Nothobranchius furzeri: one gene and its partners. The protein of the gene in region 1 interacts with the protein of each later gene in a biochemical or structural test. Links are inferred from orthologs where the notes say so. Each region holds a gene or a part of one and is shown on either strand. Other genes may lie near its edges.

Region 1 (6,219 bases):
GCCCTCCTCACCCGGGCTGGGTGTTTACGATCCTCCCAGCTACTAAAGCGCCCTCTACCGGATAGCAGGCGTACAAAAACGTACAAAGTGTGTTGACAAAACACGAAAAAAATAAAACAATGGACACTTTAACTAGTGCTTTTATACTCTTTATTTCCAAGTTCTCACCTTATTGTAAACACGCTTTGTGAATAATTGCCTCTTTAACTAAACATTGTTAGAGAGAAAAGTTCAACTATAAGGAAAATAAAACCATGAAAACAAAACTATAAAACTTTGAATATGGCTAAATAATGCTAATATATTCACCATTATTTGATTTTTATTAACCACCAACCACAGCTCATACACTTTATTTTCACATCACCCTAATTTCACTTTAGTGTTCATCACTGCAGAGAAAGTCAAGCATTCATAATGGCACCGTCTAACAGTAACTTTACATATTGCAGTATAGTTTCACAAGCATATTTCTATTTTTCTTAATATTACTATTTGACATACATTAAAAGTGTGCAGAGTTTCAAGTAGTGTTAAATAGGAGCAAAAAACCTCCATTACGATTCATGATTTTATCACAAACCGATTCTGGTCCTTCATCGTATGGCTGCTTACAAATAAACAATGAGATAAAAACACCTGTATCAAAATACATAACAGTGCTACATTTCTCATATTATATATATATATATATATATATATATATATATATATATATATATATATATATATATATATATATATATATATATATATATATATATATATATATATATATGATACAACAGTTTCTACTTTAAGATATTTGTAAAATAATAAATTACAGAGAAATAAAATGTCTAAAATATGACTTGATATTTGCAAGTTCAGCAACTTAGAATAACAAAAATACTGCAAAAATCCAAGTAAAAAATTGCAATAGAACCTTCAGATTCTTGTCCATTTGGTAGGATTTGCTACAGAGGTGTCCCTGAAGGTAAAAGTCCATTTTACATAGAGAACATTAAAAGAAAATGAGATGCTGAGATGTCATCATGCGTATTTACAGTTATAAGAAAGCCCTGGAAGATAAGACGGGTTTAGATCCCGTACAATCTTATTCAGGGTGGAGATCTTCTCCTCCAGCAGGTAGTTCTTTTTCTCTGCAATTTCATGTCGCTGCTCAGTTCTCTCCAGAGCCTTTACCAGATGGGAGTTCTCCACATACAGGTCTTTGATCAGAACATCAGCTTTGCCATTCTTGTTCAGCTAAGAGAAAAAAAATACATAGAAAGTTACAGATAGTTTGAGTCTTGATTGGAAACATATTGGTCCAAAATATACAGATCAGATGGATTAGAAGATTAGTAACTGGAAAAAATTGTTTTACTAAATCCAAGAATGCAGTCTTTCCTAAATTTGAAGTTTAATTCAGCGTTTTACTGCCCCCTTTTGGTGTCACGAACAATTACATCAACATATATTGATGCAATTATTTTACCATTAAACCAGCCAGACTCCTAGAAGCTGAGACCCTCTGACCTTTTGCTTGCTTGCTTGCTTGCTTACGTAGCTTGTTTATATAGTGACAAATTTATTGGTTTTCAGGCAAAATATAAAAGCTTTCTCAGGAGCTGATAACAAAATGCACAAACAAAACAACCCACTGTATCAGATCATTTGGAAAAACAATGGAAAATATAAAGTAAAATGTGAAATTCACCAGTTTGGATCCTGAAAGGTTACTCTAAAGGAATAAATGTTTTTTTTTAGGATGAAATGTCTGTACTTAAAAATAAAAAAACCTGGGAATTTGGATCTGAAATTCCTGCAATCTGACATCAGGTAAAATTGGACAAAAAAGTTATTCTGATTATTTGTGAAATTGGTCTCTTCTTTTTGATCATTCTAACAGTTTAGTTTTGGTTTTTCTGGCTCATCCCTTTAATTATGCTGCTATAAACCTGAACTGCTGGAAGCCATACTGACCACACTCAGTTGGATTTACGCTCTTTAATGCCAGGTTTGTATTTACTGTTATTGCTGTGACTAACTTTGTTCATCATCATTAGAAACAACAATTGGCCCCATCCCTCAGAGTTATCCAGTCTCTCAGATCCCAGCTGGCCGAGGCAGAAGGCTGCTCCATTCTGAACCTGGTTCGGTTTCTGCTGCAGTTTCTTCCTATTAAAAGAGGAGTTTTACTTCCCACTGTGGCCCATCACACAGCGCTGGCTCAGAATGAGGGATTGTGTTGAAGTCAACATATAATACAATTTGCTGGTTCCTATGGTGACCCAGAAGGCTCAACACAATACCAAAACCTACAACAGAAGTCATGATAAATGGGGAATAAATATTTAAATAAATAAATGAAATAGCATGAAGGAGAAGTTGTGGTAGAATGGAACTTGAGCTAAAACGAAAGTTAAGCTAATACCTTTTTTATGCAAATTAGGAAAAACAGCCTTGCAGCATTGAGACCAGTGACCACAGGATTCAGGATGGATTCCAATACAACCCAGAAAGTAATAGTACATCTACAACTCCATAGCTACTGAAGTAAATTGCCATTCAAGATGGCCGCCATAGTAAACCGCAGAAGAGAAGATGGACTGACCTGGTCATTCAGCTGAGCGACCTTCTCCTTCAGCAGCAGCTTTACGTTAAACAGCGACAGTTCGATTTCCTTCATGCGCTCCTCCATGTTCTTCATCTTTCGCTCCCGCTCTTCCTGGGAAAAACAATCAGGAATGTCACCAGATCACAACATTAGGGAGTGTTTTACATTATAACAGCATCAAAGCTGGTAAACATGGAAGTCAAAAACTTATGGGCCATTATTTTTGTTGACTAGTTTTATTTTTGTCTGATCTGTATGCAGTTTTAGGTACATTTCTGAAGAAAATATAAAAAAATATATATAATTTCATTTATTAAAAATAAACCTACTAAAATAATGCATAAATAAAATAAATACTATCAGAAGTAAAAAAATAAACCTTAAATAACAACAAAAGAGTTTAAAATCGAAACATGGTGGAAAACATCTCATAAAGTGGCTCAAAACCCAAAATACACAAGTGACAAAAACAATTAACAGTGTATTCATGGCACAGCACTTAATAAATATTAAATAATCAGTGAAATAAAATTAACAGTTTAGTGAAAAAACAAAACAAAATCAGGAAGTTGTGATTCGCTTTGGTTGTGCAGCAGCAACAAAACAGGTCCAACACATTTAATTAGACAGAAAACATCAGCCTTAAAAAACAAAAATACATAATAAAATGCATTTATAGGTCATCAAATGGGACAATGTACAGTCAGACAAGTAACAGGTGTGTGTGTGTGTGTGTGTGTGTGTGTGTGGGGGGGTCTGATAAAAACAAACAAACAAAACAACAGTGATCTTCCATTATCATTAGGCAACAAAAAGGTGTGGCCTCTGAGGATCTATACCCTGTCACAGTTATTAAAACAAACAAGTGCATCACTGAAAATCTACAGAAACACAAATCCAGCATTAAAAAGGTTCCCTGTAATGAAGACAAACGTGGAAAGAAAACTCCAATTTGTCAAAATGTAACAGTAGTCTGTAGTTTTTAAAATTTCCCATCATCCCTTTGGGAGAAACCACAGGTTCACCCTGTGTGTGTTCCTGCCAGCTGGCAGCAGAGAAATCCAATCACAACCTGAGAATCGGGACCCACCCAATCTCCTACAAGGATGCAGTTCAGATGTTTCTGCTCCAAACGTCGCCGAAGAGCCAAAGCTAAACTTAAGCGAAGAGGAAAGAGGCGGGCGTCACAATCCGCCGATCCGCCTGTAGCTGTCAGCGTGAGCGGCCCGTTGATCTGGCATCGGATCCTGAAGAGACAAGGCAGGAACACTTCACCAGAGTTCTACCCCTCCGCTAACCCTCTACACCCACAGAGAGAATCATCATCAACACGGAAACGCTAAAATCCTGAAGACGGCTTTCATTCGGCTCCGTTTCTGGATGATTTTGATGAAAAAACAACAGAAATGATAGATTGAGATGATGATTGTACACAAATGTATGCAGGCAAGTTTTTTTTTGTTTAAGTTTTTAAAAAGAAAAATAATAATATCTACCCAGCAGGGGTGTAACGGATCGCGAGGGGGTGTTGAACTGTTTTGGTTCGGGCCACTTGCGTACGGTTTTGATTTATTTTTTTTTTCCATTAAATAAATTTTTATTTGTGTGATTTAAGTGCAGCGGATAAAAGTTCCTAGGCGAGTTTCCACACGGACGATGTATTGAGTGACGCATGATGGCTGCACGCGCCCGATCTCCGTTCAAAAAATGTGATCTGCAAATTCTGATCAACGCCTTTCAGAGCGGATCAAACCCGCTGGCTGTCGCTGCTACTGGAGCCCGTAGAGACGCGTCGAGTCGCCCCTCCCTTATGGCAAGCCAAAACCGTCACAATACGCCACTTTCCCAACCCGTCTAGTTAAGAAATGGCGAAAAAAACGCCGTTTGATGTGCCAAGACGTCGTAAAATACGGCGAAAACTCTGCCAGAACGCCGTAATTTACGCCGTTCTGAACGGTCCCGTAGAACGCCCGTAAAATACGCCGTTTTTTCCGGACATTGAACGCCGTTTTTTACGTCACCCTAATCCCAGACGCGTTCTCTGTGTGGGTGGCGTAAAATACGGCGTTTGGTACGGACATTGAACGCCGCTTTTTTCGCCGTCCTGTGACATAAAACGCCGCTTTTAACGCCACTTTGTGACAGTTTTAACGCGTTTAAAATTCAACTTTACTCTCATTTATGTAGAGCCCTCCCCATGGGTTTCTCATCCACTTAATTTAAACTCCAGTGACCCAATGAAAGACGAGGAGGTTGAGGCAGCACTAATTCATCCCAGATTCGCCGGGCTGTCGGGCTGTGCGGATTGCTGTTTTCTAATACAACTCGGCTCTGTTTCAACTAATTTCACTGTATTGAAAAAGCCTTGAAATGTAGTAATATTATCAACAATGTGTCGACATTATTATTTTTTCTGTCCACCTGTAAAAGGCAGAAACGCTGTTTCAGTCAGACCTGATGATTACTTAAAAGTGTGGCTGCCGTATCAGTCTGTCCTCGTGGCTCGTGAGTCCAGCTGAAACATCAGTGCTCTTTCTGTCCAAAACTCCATTCTTCTTAAGTTCATCCACTTTCAGTATTTACTATTGTGACAGTGTGTGTGTGTGTGTGTGTGTGTGTGTGTGTGTGTGTGTGTGTGTGTGTGTGTGTGTGTGTGTGTGTGTGTGTGTGTGTGCTGTCGCAACGTCCCGATTGATGATGTGCCCTGGCTACTTGGCCAAGGGGATGTTCCTTTGGCTGACTGGTTAGAGCGTATGACTCTCACCCGGGAGTCTAGGGATCGAATCCCGCCCGAGCCCTCGTTTATCCACCTGGCCACACTGTTGTTTTTTGTTTTTGTTTTGTTTGTTTGTTTGTTTAACGACTGTTATACTTGTCTTACAGGAGCTTCTGAAGATGTTCTGTCTTGCTTCTCCATCATCACTCTCCAGCTCCTCAGACCAGCCACTCCAGAACCTTCCCAGATCCAGGATCAGAGCACTTTAATTAAAGTTTGAAACATGTCTGCTTGTTGTTCTCCTATAGAAGCCTTAAACTAGAATTTGCTAATGAGCTTTCTTGGCTAAAATATGCTCTTGAATGTTTTTATTTACATAATCAAGAAACACGTTTTTCATTGCTGCTTCACCAAGACATGACTGAAAATGTCCTCAAGATCCTGAAACGCTGGTTAAAACAAATTACTTTTAACCTCTTATAAAACAAACGTGTCTGTTGATGATTATGCCCACTACAATACTGAAGCACCTGCATACTTGCTACCGATTTGCTAACTTTCTGTAATATTTGATATTTAAGTTGAAAACATGAAATGCTGTAACACAAATTCCAAATGTTCTAGTTGAGCACTTGTTTCTACTCAACTAATCATATTGTAAATATCGTTTCACTTTATTTTATTATTATAGTTTGAAGAATGCCGTAACTGTGAAAACCAGTGCAGATTATTATACATGTGCAACACTGTTAAACCATTTTTCAGTAAGATAATTGTAATTTTTCCATGTGTTTATTGAAAAGGAAAAAGCTGACTAATCACAGAAATAATGATTAGTTGAGTAGAAACAAGTGCTCAACTAGAACATTTGGAATTTGTGTTACAGCATTTCATGTTTTCA
Region 2 (5,937 bases), on another chromosome or scaffold:
AGCATAAGGCTTTAACAGTTCAGTAATATAGGGAGGAGCTTGAACATGTAGAGCCGAGTTATTGTCAGGATTCTAAAATGAACTCTAAAGTTAACGGATTACCAGCCAACACCTTCAGAAACACCCATAAAGGCTTAAGTTTGTTATATTGGGCTTATAGTTATGGAAACATTCTGAAATAGTTGAATATTGTTGCATATCCTTCTATTTGCAGGATTTCTTTTCTGTGTCTCTATCTCGTCAGGGCAGAAGTCTGTCCATCCTGGTTCCCGTTCTGCTGAAGTGCTGCAGGAACCGTGTTGAAGAAAATCTTCAGATTTTTTCGTGACAACTTTAATTGCTTGAACTGGACTTTACATAGTTTGGTTTTAAAGAGGTTCTGCTTGTTTTGGACTAAGTGTAATGCATCAAATCAGTTAAAAATAATTAATAACTCATTTAAATTAGTCCCACATTTTTATTAACTAATATTACACTGATGTTATCAATCAGTATTTACGCTCCTCTAGTCCTCTCTCACCCCTGCTTCAAATCAACAAGATCTTTTAGAGAAGCTCAACAGGTTTGGTTTGAAGCGTCAGAAACTGGTTTTAAATGTTCTTATGCAAGAGAGTGACCAAACGCAAAACACAAAAGAACACTAAAAAAAGAACAGGGTAACATGGCAGGAAGGAAACGGGAATAACCTGACTCGAACCAGCTGGAGGCAAAGTGAGAGAGCCACACAAAACAAGTCAGTACAGAAACCGCAGACCAGAAAATTCACCGAGACCTTAAATACCTGCAGGAATTCAATCTTATAAATACGCACGACAGAATTACGCAATGATGACAACTTCATCTATTGATCAACAATCTGTTCACTTATGAGTAAAATGGTTTAATATGACTTTCCTCAACCATCAAGGGTTTGTTTTATAGGAACTTGAATGTATTCTCACATAAACATTGTAAAGAGGGAGATTTGAACTAGACACGTAAAAGATGCACGTGTGGAAGTGTGATGGCCACTATTTTAAAACATCTCAGCAGAGGCGATCAACACAAAAACAGCTGATTGGCGTCCTCTAGTGTCTGCTGGACATTCTCACACTGTTGGTTTCCTTCAGTAGAAAAAAGATATGAATGAATTAAACAGTTTATTTGGAATCAGTTACGATCAGATGTGATTAGATCTCCAAGTTTAGCATTTTCAGATCTTTTTTTGTTTTCCTTCTGGTGAGTTTTTTTTTTACTTAACTTCTCCAGTCAGAACAAAACATCTAAAAATTCCTACGTTAATCCTTTTTTATAGGATTATGTGCGTAGAATGACTGAGACAAGAACATCAGCTCTAATGAAAGGAAGACCAGACAGACTTGATAATTCTTGATCATTTCCAGGCTATCCTACTCTTTATTTAATGCAAATTACAGTACCAGGGAACTATTCCTCGGGGCACGCAGAGGGGAGTATTTACAGAGGCGCACATTTAGCATACCTTCACAGAACAAAAACAAATGAAAACTAAATAAAAAGTTCAGTCACAAACAAAGGCATTCAAGTAGTACTGTTATACAGGATGTTTTTGTAATAGTTTTTTTTTAATATTTTTTTTCTTCTCTTTAATCCCAGGTAGGCCCAGTTAGCACATCTGTAAGCTAGTATATGATACTAGTATTTATACTTGCTTTGTTTTTTTTTTTTTGGGTAACTGTTCTAGTATTTTGATGAACTGGGTGTTAAAAGTTAGGTTAAAGTGGTCAAACCTTGTGGAGGGTAGCAATACGCTCATGAATGCTAAATTACAGCAAGCAGGAGATGGGGGGGTGGGGGCTATTTGACTCAACCCCTTCGGTGCTACTGAACCCCCTCCCACCAACAGAATTAGGAGGGGGGGGGGGGGCGCAAGCAAGAGAACAGAGAAAAAGGAGTTATTGCCTCTGAGGATGGCTCGGCACAACTACATCAACGTTTGGCTTTGGTAACAGAACCAACACTGTCAGTGACACAAAGTCTCTACTGTATTATATGTACAGTATACCAGCCCCCCCCCCCCCCCCCCCTCCTGCCACCACCCACCTCAGTCCATGTGGGTGTGGGGGATTAAACATCTACCAAAATCAACAGGTGTCTAGTGAATCTGCAGTAAGGAGAGCCATCCTTACCTCTAAAGCCTATAATACAACTGCTGTGTGATTGGGGTGGGGGGTGAGTAGCACGACATTCAACAGCACCAAAGGGAGAGTCACAACATTGGGTGAGGGTGGAGACAAGGCGAAGGTGTATGAAAGCAAAGGCACTCCAAACTATAGTTACACTATACATGACTAGTCCTTGTTACAATAATACAGCGGTCTTCTAATGAACTGTACAGGTAAAGATTGAACATATGGCTGGATAAAGCTGATCATCTTCTAACACACCCATAAACATCAGTTTTGCCCTGATTTTAATGTTTTCCTGCTTTCTTTCTTCCCCGTCTTTGTTTTTGCTCATAAACAGTACATGGGTCTGCGTATATATACATACGGTGAACACAACATGGAAAACGACTCAACGCAACATAAAAAAATTAACATACAAGACGTACGAGTTTTGGTGAGGAGCATTTAGGCTGTATGTACAAATTCAGTTTCTTTGTTTCTTTTTTAAATGTAGAGAAGATAATTCGTCAGCCTGTAGTGAGCGGCTCTATGTGCTGTAGGTGGAAAGGAGGGGAAAACAAACACGTGGCTAACATTTCCGTCGACATGAGACAGCCTGCGGTGCACCGAGGACCGCCGCCGGGGCTTCGAAAACAGCCCAGACAAGAAAAAAGCGATCATCTGGAAGTCTCCAGGAGGAGGTGGACTGGGGGACACGTTGCATCGTCACAGACGCGATATTAGACGGAGTCGAAGGCAAAAGGAGCAGAGCAGCACCCTACATCCATCTACACAGGAGGAGAGGGAGGTGGCTGCCGGAGGCCAGCAACTCCAGATACAAAATAAAAACTTAGTGAAGTCTGTCGTCTTTGGGCGGCAGCAAATATTGCCACGGCTCCACCAGATATGAGCTCACCGTAAATGATTTCTGAACCACTGTAGATAATATACATAGAATCTATATATACTTTTTATACATAAAGAAAAGTATTATATAAAGTGTGTATGCGTATTTGTACTGTATGTATAAATCATACAAGCACACAGGACCAGATACACATCACGCCCATCACACACCCTCCAAAACAAATAACATCTGCCCAGGAGTACAAAATAAAAATAAAATAAAAACAGAATAAAAGAGCTTAATGCCTAAAAACAACCCCGGGCAAAAAGAAAACAAATGTCCAAATAATTCTACCCCTCCTCCTCCCTCCTCGAGGCGGGACTGCTCCCTTCCACATAGGATCATCATGCATCCGTGTGTGTGTCTTGAGTGTGTGTTTACGCGTGCGGGAGCCTCATGCCTTGTTTGCAGAAGTAGTGGTGAGAGGACATGACAGTGCCCCCTCCCCTTATTGTACTCAGGTCATGCACTACAGAAGGAACCGAGGGAGACGGGGGAGAAGTGGGGGGATGCAGGGAAACGGTACAATATAAGGAGAGGACAGGTTGACGGGGACAGCGAAGGACTTTTCTACAGATTGTCCTCTTGTGGATGTCTAGCGTGGTGTATACGTGTGAAGTTTAGTACAGTCAGCAACACAGGCGGCCCACGCTTCGCTTTCAGGTGCCTTTAACGGAGGAGGGGAGGAGTTCGAACACCTGCTTATGGGTCAGGGGAGGGCTCAGGGATGCCTGTGTTTTTGGGGGTGGGAGGGGGATTGTTTAGCTGTTGAACCCAGGCTGCCTCAGCATAGCTGCGCCGCTGCCAGGGAGGAGAGCGAGGCAGGAGCAGAGCCGATCGGAGCTCACCCCCTGGTCAGGGCAATGAAGAGGCTGTGGGCTGGGGCTGTGGGCTGAGGCGGGGCCGGGAGTTCTGTGGGCTCAGGAGATGGAGTTGGAGGCGGAGGCGGTGGTGGTGCTGGGACCTCGCTCTGTGCTGCTGCCGTCTGTGAGCAGAAAGCAAAGTCAGTGATGCTGCTTTTAATGGAAACCAGAAAACTCAAAACCATCTGCTGATAATGAAGAGATTCTGAGTTTCACATTTATTATTTAAATCAAATTTCTTGTAAAAAATGTATTCAAACATGCAATGAACTGTTTAAAGAGTTTCAATAACGTACCATTTAAATCTGTTTAGAATAGAATAGTCATTGTTGAGGGTTGATGCCATAAATGTTTCCTTCAAGGTGGTGATTACAGAAGTTCTGCCCTCTTGAATTATAAAAAAAATAGTGTTTTGAAGAAGAAAGCTCTGCAGGTACCTGTGGTGGCAGACGCGTTGGTTGGAGTGGAGGCGGCGGCCTGGCTGCGGGCGTGGGCTGGGATGAGTATGGAGGCCAAAGAGGCATTACTGGATAGCTCTGAAAGATAATGAACATAAGTTATCAGGTCATGTTGTTACAAAGCCACCCTGGAGATAAACTCCCAGATGGCAACAAGACATTCTGAAAGCAAAATGTAAAGAAGCACAAACTAAAGAAAATACAGAGGATTTCAGCTGTTACTGTTCGTGTTTGTGGCGCGTACCCTGGGTGGTGAAGTTAAACAGCGAGGGTTTCTCTCTGCCGTTGGGAAGCTTGACATTGGGGTCACGCAGCTCGTCAAAGAAGGAGTGAGCACAAGCCTCTAGAGGGGTGAGGCGCGCTGTGGGCGTGTACTCTAGCAGGCGAGAGCACAAGGCGATGGCCTCTGGAGGTGTGCGAGGCCGGAAGACCTGAACGACAAATTACAGACACAAATCAACAAGATGACTGTTGCTCGACGAAAGGTATTTGAGGACAGCTAACACATTTGTCAACATGTAAAAGCCTAGAAACAAAGTTCATTTATTTTTTTCCAACACATTTGCAATAGTCTCTAGTAAAAACGAATGCCATGTTAGTTAATCTGTGTGATAAAAGCTCTGACACTCCTGTTTCAGGAGCTAGACGTTAGCCAGAGCAGATGACGGCAGGATTTGGTGTCTCTCTTACTGATACCTGCACATCTCACCTGACTGGCTAACAGCAACGCGACTCTACCACCTCCTTCATTTCCTCTGCAATGGTGATGTTTTATCTCCACAAATAACACAAGTCAGGAGGAGTTCTGTCAAGTTGTGAAGTTGCTAATGCTAATGGTTAGCTTCTACTAGCCAAAATATGCTCTACTCTCTCCTGGACGCTAAAACAACAACAGCCTTCTCCGTCAGGAGCCAAGATGGGTGAGTCTATAATTGCTAATTTTCAGTGTGACGTGGATCTGATTGGCTTTTCTAACCTAAGCATTTCTCCATCTATTTTCTATTCCCGACTAATGCAGGAAATAGGGGTAGAAGACTATTCTAACGTTTAACCTGCATGATAAACTCAGTGTGACCGATCTAACTCAAAAATAACAAGTAAAAAATGGTTTGTGAGTACATTTCTGTGGGGAAAAGGCTTTGGCGCTCCTGTTTCAGGAGCTAGAAGTGAGCCACGTTGAACTTGAGCTTCAGACGGCAGGACTTGGGAGTCTCATTTGCTGATTTTCTGACATCTTGCTTCTAATTGGCTAACAGCAACAAGACTACCACCTCCTCCATTTGCTCTGCAACATTGATGATTTATCTCCATAAATAAAACACGCCTGAAGGAGTTCTAATGTGGTGGAGCTGCTAATGCTAACTGTTAGCTTCTACAAGCAGAGAGGCACTCTGCTGTTTCCTGGACGCTAAATCAGCAACAGCCTTTCCAGTCAGGAGCCAAGATGGGCGAGTCCATGAATGCCAATTTGACATTATGATGTGCTAAGGTCACTGGCTTTTCTAATCCGAGTGTTGTCCCGTCTATTTTCGATCAGAAGTTGATGCAGGAAATAGAGGTGAACTTGGCTTTTAAGCAGATTA
Region 3 (5,382 bases), on another chromosome or scaffold:
CAGAATTCTCTCCTGCATGGGTTTCATACAGGCATCCGAACATCCTTCGTCTCTATGGCTACTTCCATGATGCGACCCGTGTGTATCTCATCCTTGAGTTTGCACCTAAGGGAGAGCTGTACGGCGAGCTGCAGAAGTGTGGAAGTTTCCCAGAAGACAGGAGTGCAACAGTAAGTTAAAAACACTTCAAACTTCAAACACAGTCAACATTCCACAGGTTTATTGAAGGTGTACTCTTAATTCCACTTACTGTTTTTTCTTTTGTGTTATTAGTACATTATGGAGCTGGCAGATGCTCTCCACTATTGCCACATCAAGAATGTGATCCACAGAGACATCAAACCAGAGAATTTGCTCCTGGGAGGCAACGGGGAGCTGAAGATCGCTGACTTTGGCTGGTCTGTTCACACCCCTTCATCCAGGTACGCAGATGTGTTTAATGCAACTTCTTACTGTGTTTTATGGGCTCTGGTCTGCTGATGTTGAGGATCGTTGTCTGGTTTTTCTTTGTGTGACGATCTTTTCTGTCCTTGCATAATAAAGTCCTATTTTAGAAATGTTTTTACCCCTGCAGAAGGTCCACTCTGTGTGGAACACTTGACTACTTGCCCCCAGAAATGATTGAAGGCAAAACCCATGATGAAAAGGTGGACCTTTGGAGCCTGGGGGTCCTCTGCTATGAGTTCCTAGTTGGACATCCTCCTTTTGAAGCAAAAACTCATGAGGAAACCTACCGCAAGATTTCAAGGGTATGAGACTCAGCTGTTTTTGTTTTGGTGTGTCTAATTTAAAGAAAAATCAAAACATGTATAAATACTCGTTCAATTCAAGTTTATTTATATAGCGCCAAATCACGACAAGAGTCATCTCAAGGCACTTCACATAATAAACATTCCAATCCAGGTCAGTTCATTAAGTCAATATGAAAAAATGTTTCTTATATAAGGAACCCAGCAAATTGCATCAGACTTTACAGCAATCCTAATACTAGGCAAGCATTTAGCGACAGTGGAGAGGAAAACTCCCTTTTAACAGGAAGAAACCTCCAGAGGATCCTGACTCAGTATAAGCAGCCATCCACCACGACTCACTGGGGATCGAGAAGACAGAGCAGACACACACACACACGCACGCACACCAAGTAATGTTTCTATGGTTACATCGTGATTTCTTAGTAAATATTCTATTTGATGAGAGATAAACTTTATTGTATTTATCCTAGTGAATCTATAATTAAATGGGTAAACTAGTTGTAGCACATCCAACGTCAAGGAAAGCAAAAAGTTATTATCAGGAGAGGGAGAATGTTTAAATGGTTAGCAGTAGTGTGCTAGATGATGGCCCCCTCCATGAGGCCACCACAGCTCAGCAGAACATCATTGTTGCTTATTCTGGGGAGAAAAAGAGAAAAAATAAAGTTAACAACTGAAATAGCAGGAAATAATACAGTTAAAGTTGTAGATGAAAGTAGTAGAGTGTGGAAAGTGGTCAGTGTATCCTCCAGCAGTCTAAGCCTATAGCAGCATAACTACAGAGATAACTCTGGATAACCTAGCCTTTTAGATGGAGGCAGGGCAAGGGAGAGCCGTCTTTACCGACCGTACACTCTTGGTCATGATGTCATAATCTGGCATGTTATTGTTACTGTACATTGTGCTAAAGCTGGGTCGAGTTAATTGTGAATCAAATTGAAATTGTACTTTCTGTAAGGAAATCAGTTGGATGTTTTCCTAAAATAGTTTTATTTCTGTTGTGTACAGATCTGCAGACTTAAAGGCCAGGCTCACTGAGAAACAGTTTTTTACTTATTTTAGAAAATGATCAGTGTCCAAGTTTCACGTGTAGCCTAAACATGAAAATAGTTGTCTTCACCTATCTCCTGCATTAGCTTCTGATAGAAAATAGACAGAAAAACCTCTGCTCAGAAAATCTTGACATTCATGGACTCACTCATCTTGACTCGTGGCGGCAAAAGCTGTTTATTTAGTGTCCAGGAAACAGCAGAGAACGTCTCGACTAGCAGAAGCTAACTGTTAGCAATAGCAATTCCGCAGTATGGCAGAACTCCTTCAGACTTGTTATTTTTGGAGGTAAAACATCGGTGTTGCAAAGGAAGTCAGTGGTGAAGTCGCATTGCTGTTATCCAATCAGAGGTATGGTGTTCAAATATCAGGAAATAAAACTCATTCCTGCCATCTGAAGCTACTTTCTCTAACTGGAATTCTCCGTGCTGAAACAGGCGCTCTGGAGCTTTTTTTCTGCAGTCAACAACTTACAACGCATTAATTCCAGCTAGAAATTGCTGCAAATGTATTAAAACTATGAGTAAATATGTACAATTCTGTCCTTATTAAAACTGCTAATTCACAGCTTCTGTTATTTACGATTCTACCTGTCATGATTTCATTCCCTCCTTTAGGTGGAGTACACATATCCTCCACAGACCAGTATCAGTGCTGGAGCCAAAGACTTGGTAGCGAGGCTGCTGAAGCACAATCCCATGCACAGATTGCCCATCCAGGGAGTCCTGTCCCACCCTTGGGTGCTAGAATATTCCACCAAGAAGCCCGTGACTCTGAATGCCGAGGAGACCAGTCAGTGAGGGTTTTCCTGATGGAGTGTACGACAAAGCACCATCGGCTTTGACCTCTGAGCATCAGTTGTAAGCTGATTTGTCAGAATCTGCTTTGATTACTCGACTTTTCCACTTCCTGTTATTTTACAGAATCTTGAGCCACATTGTTTTGTCTGCTTTTACCGTATCCTGAATTATTTCTCTTCTCAACGACATCCTGTTTGTAAATATTTAAAATGTAATAATTATGAAAATCTTTGTGCTTTTTATGAAAGGTTACTTGAAATAAGCAAACAAGACTTTTTTTAAATGTGTTGCTTGAAGTTCAGAAAACCTGAGAGAAGTAGGTTATTTTTTTATTTCTGCACAGATGTGAGACAGCAGAGGGCGCTAGAGAGCTCTAACTTTGAGCATGTTGGTTTCAGTAAAAAATAAAGTTTTCTTTAAAAGGTTTAACTAAATTATCTGTATTGTCTTGTCTTCAACATCTCACATCATTTATTGTAGCTCTAAGTAAATTTTTATCACAAGTGATGGTTCAGATCACATTAGTTGGATTTCTGAAGAAAATGTTTTAATATAAAATTCATTGAGTGACTGCTTCACTTAAAGTAATGGTGTGCATTTTTCCTGGTGATGGGGGCAGTAGATTCCTAAATCATTGCATGAAAGCAGTATTTTTGTGTTGGAGTAAGACATTACCAACGGATGCCCATTAGGGTCAAAAAGCCCTAGAGAATGCAAACTTTGACAAAATAACAAGCACATCAGACTCCCATTCATCACTGGCAACAAGCGAAGAGGTAGATTTGAAAAACATTTATGGATGGAGAACATGTCGTAACCGTTTGTTACAAATCAGTAAATGCATTTTGTCCTCATGGGCTCCCGTAGAAGGAAACATGGCATCTAATATGGTGTCGCCCAGAGACTTAGACCCACTCCCATGACCTGATTTTTATGGTTATGTTACAAAGCTGCCAATATTTTTCACCAACTGGGCATCATTTAATTCATTTTCAACAACATTTTGATGGGTGTTTCCAGAAATTTATGGTAAAAACTACACATTGTCTCTTTAAAACCAGTAAAAAAATATAAAATATACACCAGAAAATCATTAGCCTTAGCCTAGAAATCTAGACCGTCTGTTTAGTTACACTCCCATTATGGGCCTTTCCCACTAGCATCAGCTCTGCATGCTCTGGATAGCACAGAGAGTGTCCACATTAGTATAGCCTGCCTTTTTTGGGGTGCAACTGGACTATTTCAGCCCTTTTCCCGAGGTGGCCTGCTTCAGGCCGACCAGGGCCAGAACACACACTGCTTACTGATAGCCCAGCTCAAATTCATACTTCCCAATAGGGGAAGCCTCCGATTAATCAGCCCAGTGGGTTTACAGCTTAAACCAGTTCATTATAACGCTGAATACCTAGGAGGAAAGTGTCTGACTGCATTCATAAGGAAGGATGTGTGTAATGAACTGGGCTGACTTGGACTTTTCTGTGAGTCACGAGCAGATAAAGGTTCTTATGTCCTTTATTTAATAAAAAAGCATGTGTTAACGTACATGTCACACCCATCTACTTCTGGACCATGGGTCCACAACTGCCCAAATAATGAATGGGGATCTATGAGGGGATGGTATTTTCTTGTGTGCAACAGATTTCTCTTAATATGTCTGTGTATTTTAAAAAAATGTTTTGATGCCAGGAAAGCACTGATGATGATAGGCGGCAGAAGTTATTTTAGGTTTTGTGTGAAAATACTTCATTACCAAATTGATGTAATCAAACATGGAGAAGAGGAGAAAGAAAATAAGTTTAAAGACACAATTGGTAGTTTTGGCTTACTTTGAGCACCCCTAGAGACTATTAATAATTCACTGTCATAAACCCAAAAGTGAAACTCTTCTTTGCGCAATCGTGTTTTTAACACCTTCACCTAACTACTGAAATGTCTCCTTAGCCTTCGTTAGTGTCAGAGCGTTTCATCACTAAAACCAATCAGCTGTGTTCATGATCTAAACTATGTAGGAATCATGTGCTGGAAGCAGACTGCAGCGCTAGCATGTCAGCTCCACTTTACTATTGATTTACAAGGACCGGGATACTCTGAAGTTGCAAGTGTGGTGGAGTCTGAGTGATTTTTCTTTAACCCAGTGTAAAGGGTTATTTTAGCACATATTTGCTCAAAGAAAATGATTTTAAAATATGAAAAATGTACATTGTGTGCCTTTAATAACAATTTTTAAAAGCTATTAAATCTCTAAGTACTTGATGGACATAGTTGAAACACTATTTATTTTCATTTAAATTAAAGTACAACATACATATGATTTGGGGCAAAGCAGATTAGAAAATAACTTTTATAGCCCCATTTACTTGTATTTCATTTATTTATTTATGTAATGGCCAGACTGTATATTCATCCATACATGTTGGCTTGCCTGGCCAGTAAATTGTGGCAAGATAAACAAGTTACTTTTGGGTGTAGTTAACCAACTTGTTCACTAGGGGGCGACCCAGGACAAAACATGACAGAACTGATTTACAGCTCGTAAGCAGAATTGGCAATTTATGTACTTATTGTGTGTGTGTGTGTGTGTGTGTGTGTGTGTGTGTGTGTGTGTGTGTGTGTGTGTGTGTGTGTGTGTTAAATTTGCAATCCAAGATGAAGAAAACAGACCTTTACTGCTGCTTTCTGAAAAAAATGGCATGCAACTGCTGTGTGTGTGTGTGCGTGCGCGTCGTCATGCGCGCGCCTCCTCTATCAGCCTTCGGATGATGCCACTCGGAAATAAACGA

What was found.
Region 2: of the proteins of nin (region 1) and gsk3ba, one has a biochemical effect on the other in vitro, tested with the Homo sapiens proteins (2 studies listed by BioGRID and IntAct). The link is inferred for Nothobranchius furzeri from reciprocal best matches to the Homo sapiens genes NIN and GSK3B.
Region 3: of the proteins of nin (region 1) and aurka, one has a biochemical effect on the other in vitro, tested with the Homo sapiens proteins (2 studies listed by BioGRID). The link is inferred for Nothobranchius furzeri from reciprocal best matches to the Homo sapiens genes NIN and AURKA.

What each region holds. Positions count from the first base shown.
Region 1 is NC_091758.1:19,781,259-19,787,477, forward strand, and holds the end of nin (ninein), read right to left. Parts: intron 2,714-6,219; coding exon 2,600-2,713; intron 1,249-2,599; coding exon 1,033-1,248; 3' UTR 906-1,032; downstream 1-905. UniProt on the Homo sapiens protein: Centrosomal protein required in the positioning and anchorage of the microtubule minus-end in epithelial cells. May also act as a centrosome maturation factor.
Region 2 is NC_091754.1:24,486,276-24,492,212, reverse strand, and holds the end of gsk3ba (glycogen synthase kinase-3 beta), read right to left. Parts: intron 4,786-5,937; coding exon 4,599-4,785; intron 4,433-4,598; coding exon 4,334-4,432; intron 4,019-4,333; coding exon 3,954-4,018; 3' UTR 2,034-3,953; downstream 1-2,033. UniProt on the Homo sapiens protein: Constitutively active protein kinase that acts as a negative regulator in the hormonal control of glucose homeostasis, Wnt signaling and regulation of transcription factors and microtubules, by phosphorylating and inactivating glycogen synthase (GYS1 or GYS2), EIF2B, CTNNB1/beta-catenin, APC, AXIN1, DPYSL2/CRMP2, JUN, NFATC1/NFATC, MAPT/TAU and MACF1.
Region 3 is NC_091743.1:61,019,856-61,025,237, forward strand, and holds the end of aurka (aurora kinase A), read left to right. Parts: intron 1-31; coding exon 32-170; intron 171-273; coding exon 274-422; intron 423-574; coding exon 575-749; intron 750-2,419; coding exon 2,420-2,602; 3' UTR 2,603-3,036; downstream 3,037-5,382. UniProt on the Homo sapiens protein: Mitotic serine/threonine kinase that contributes to the regulation of cell cycle progression.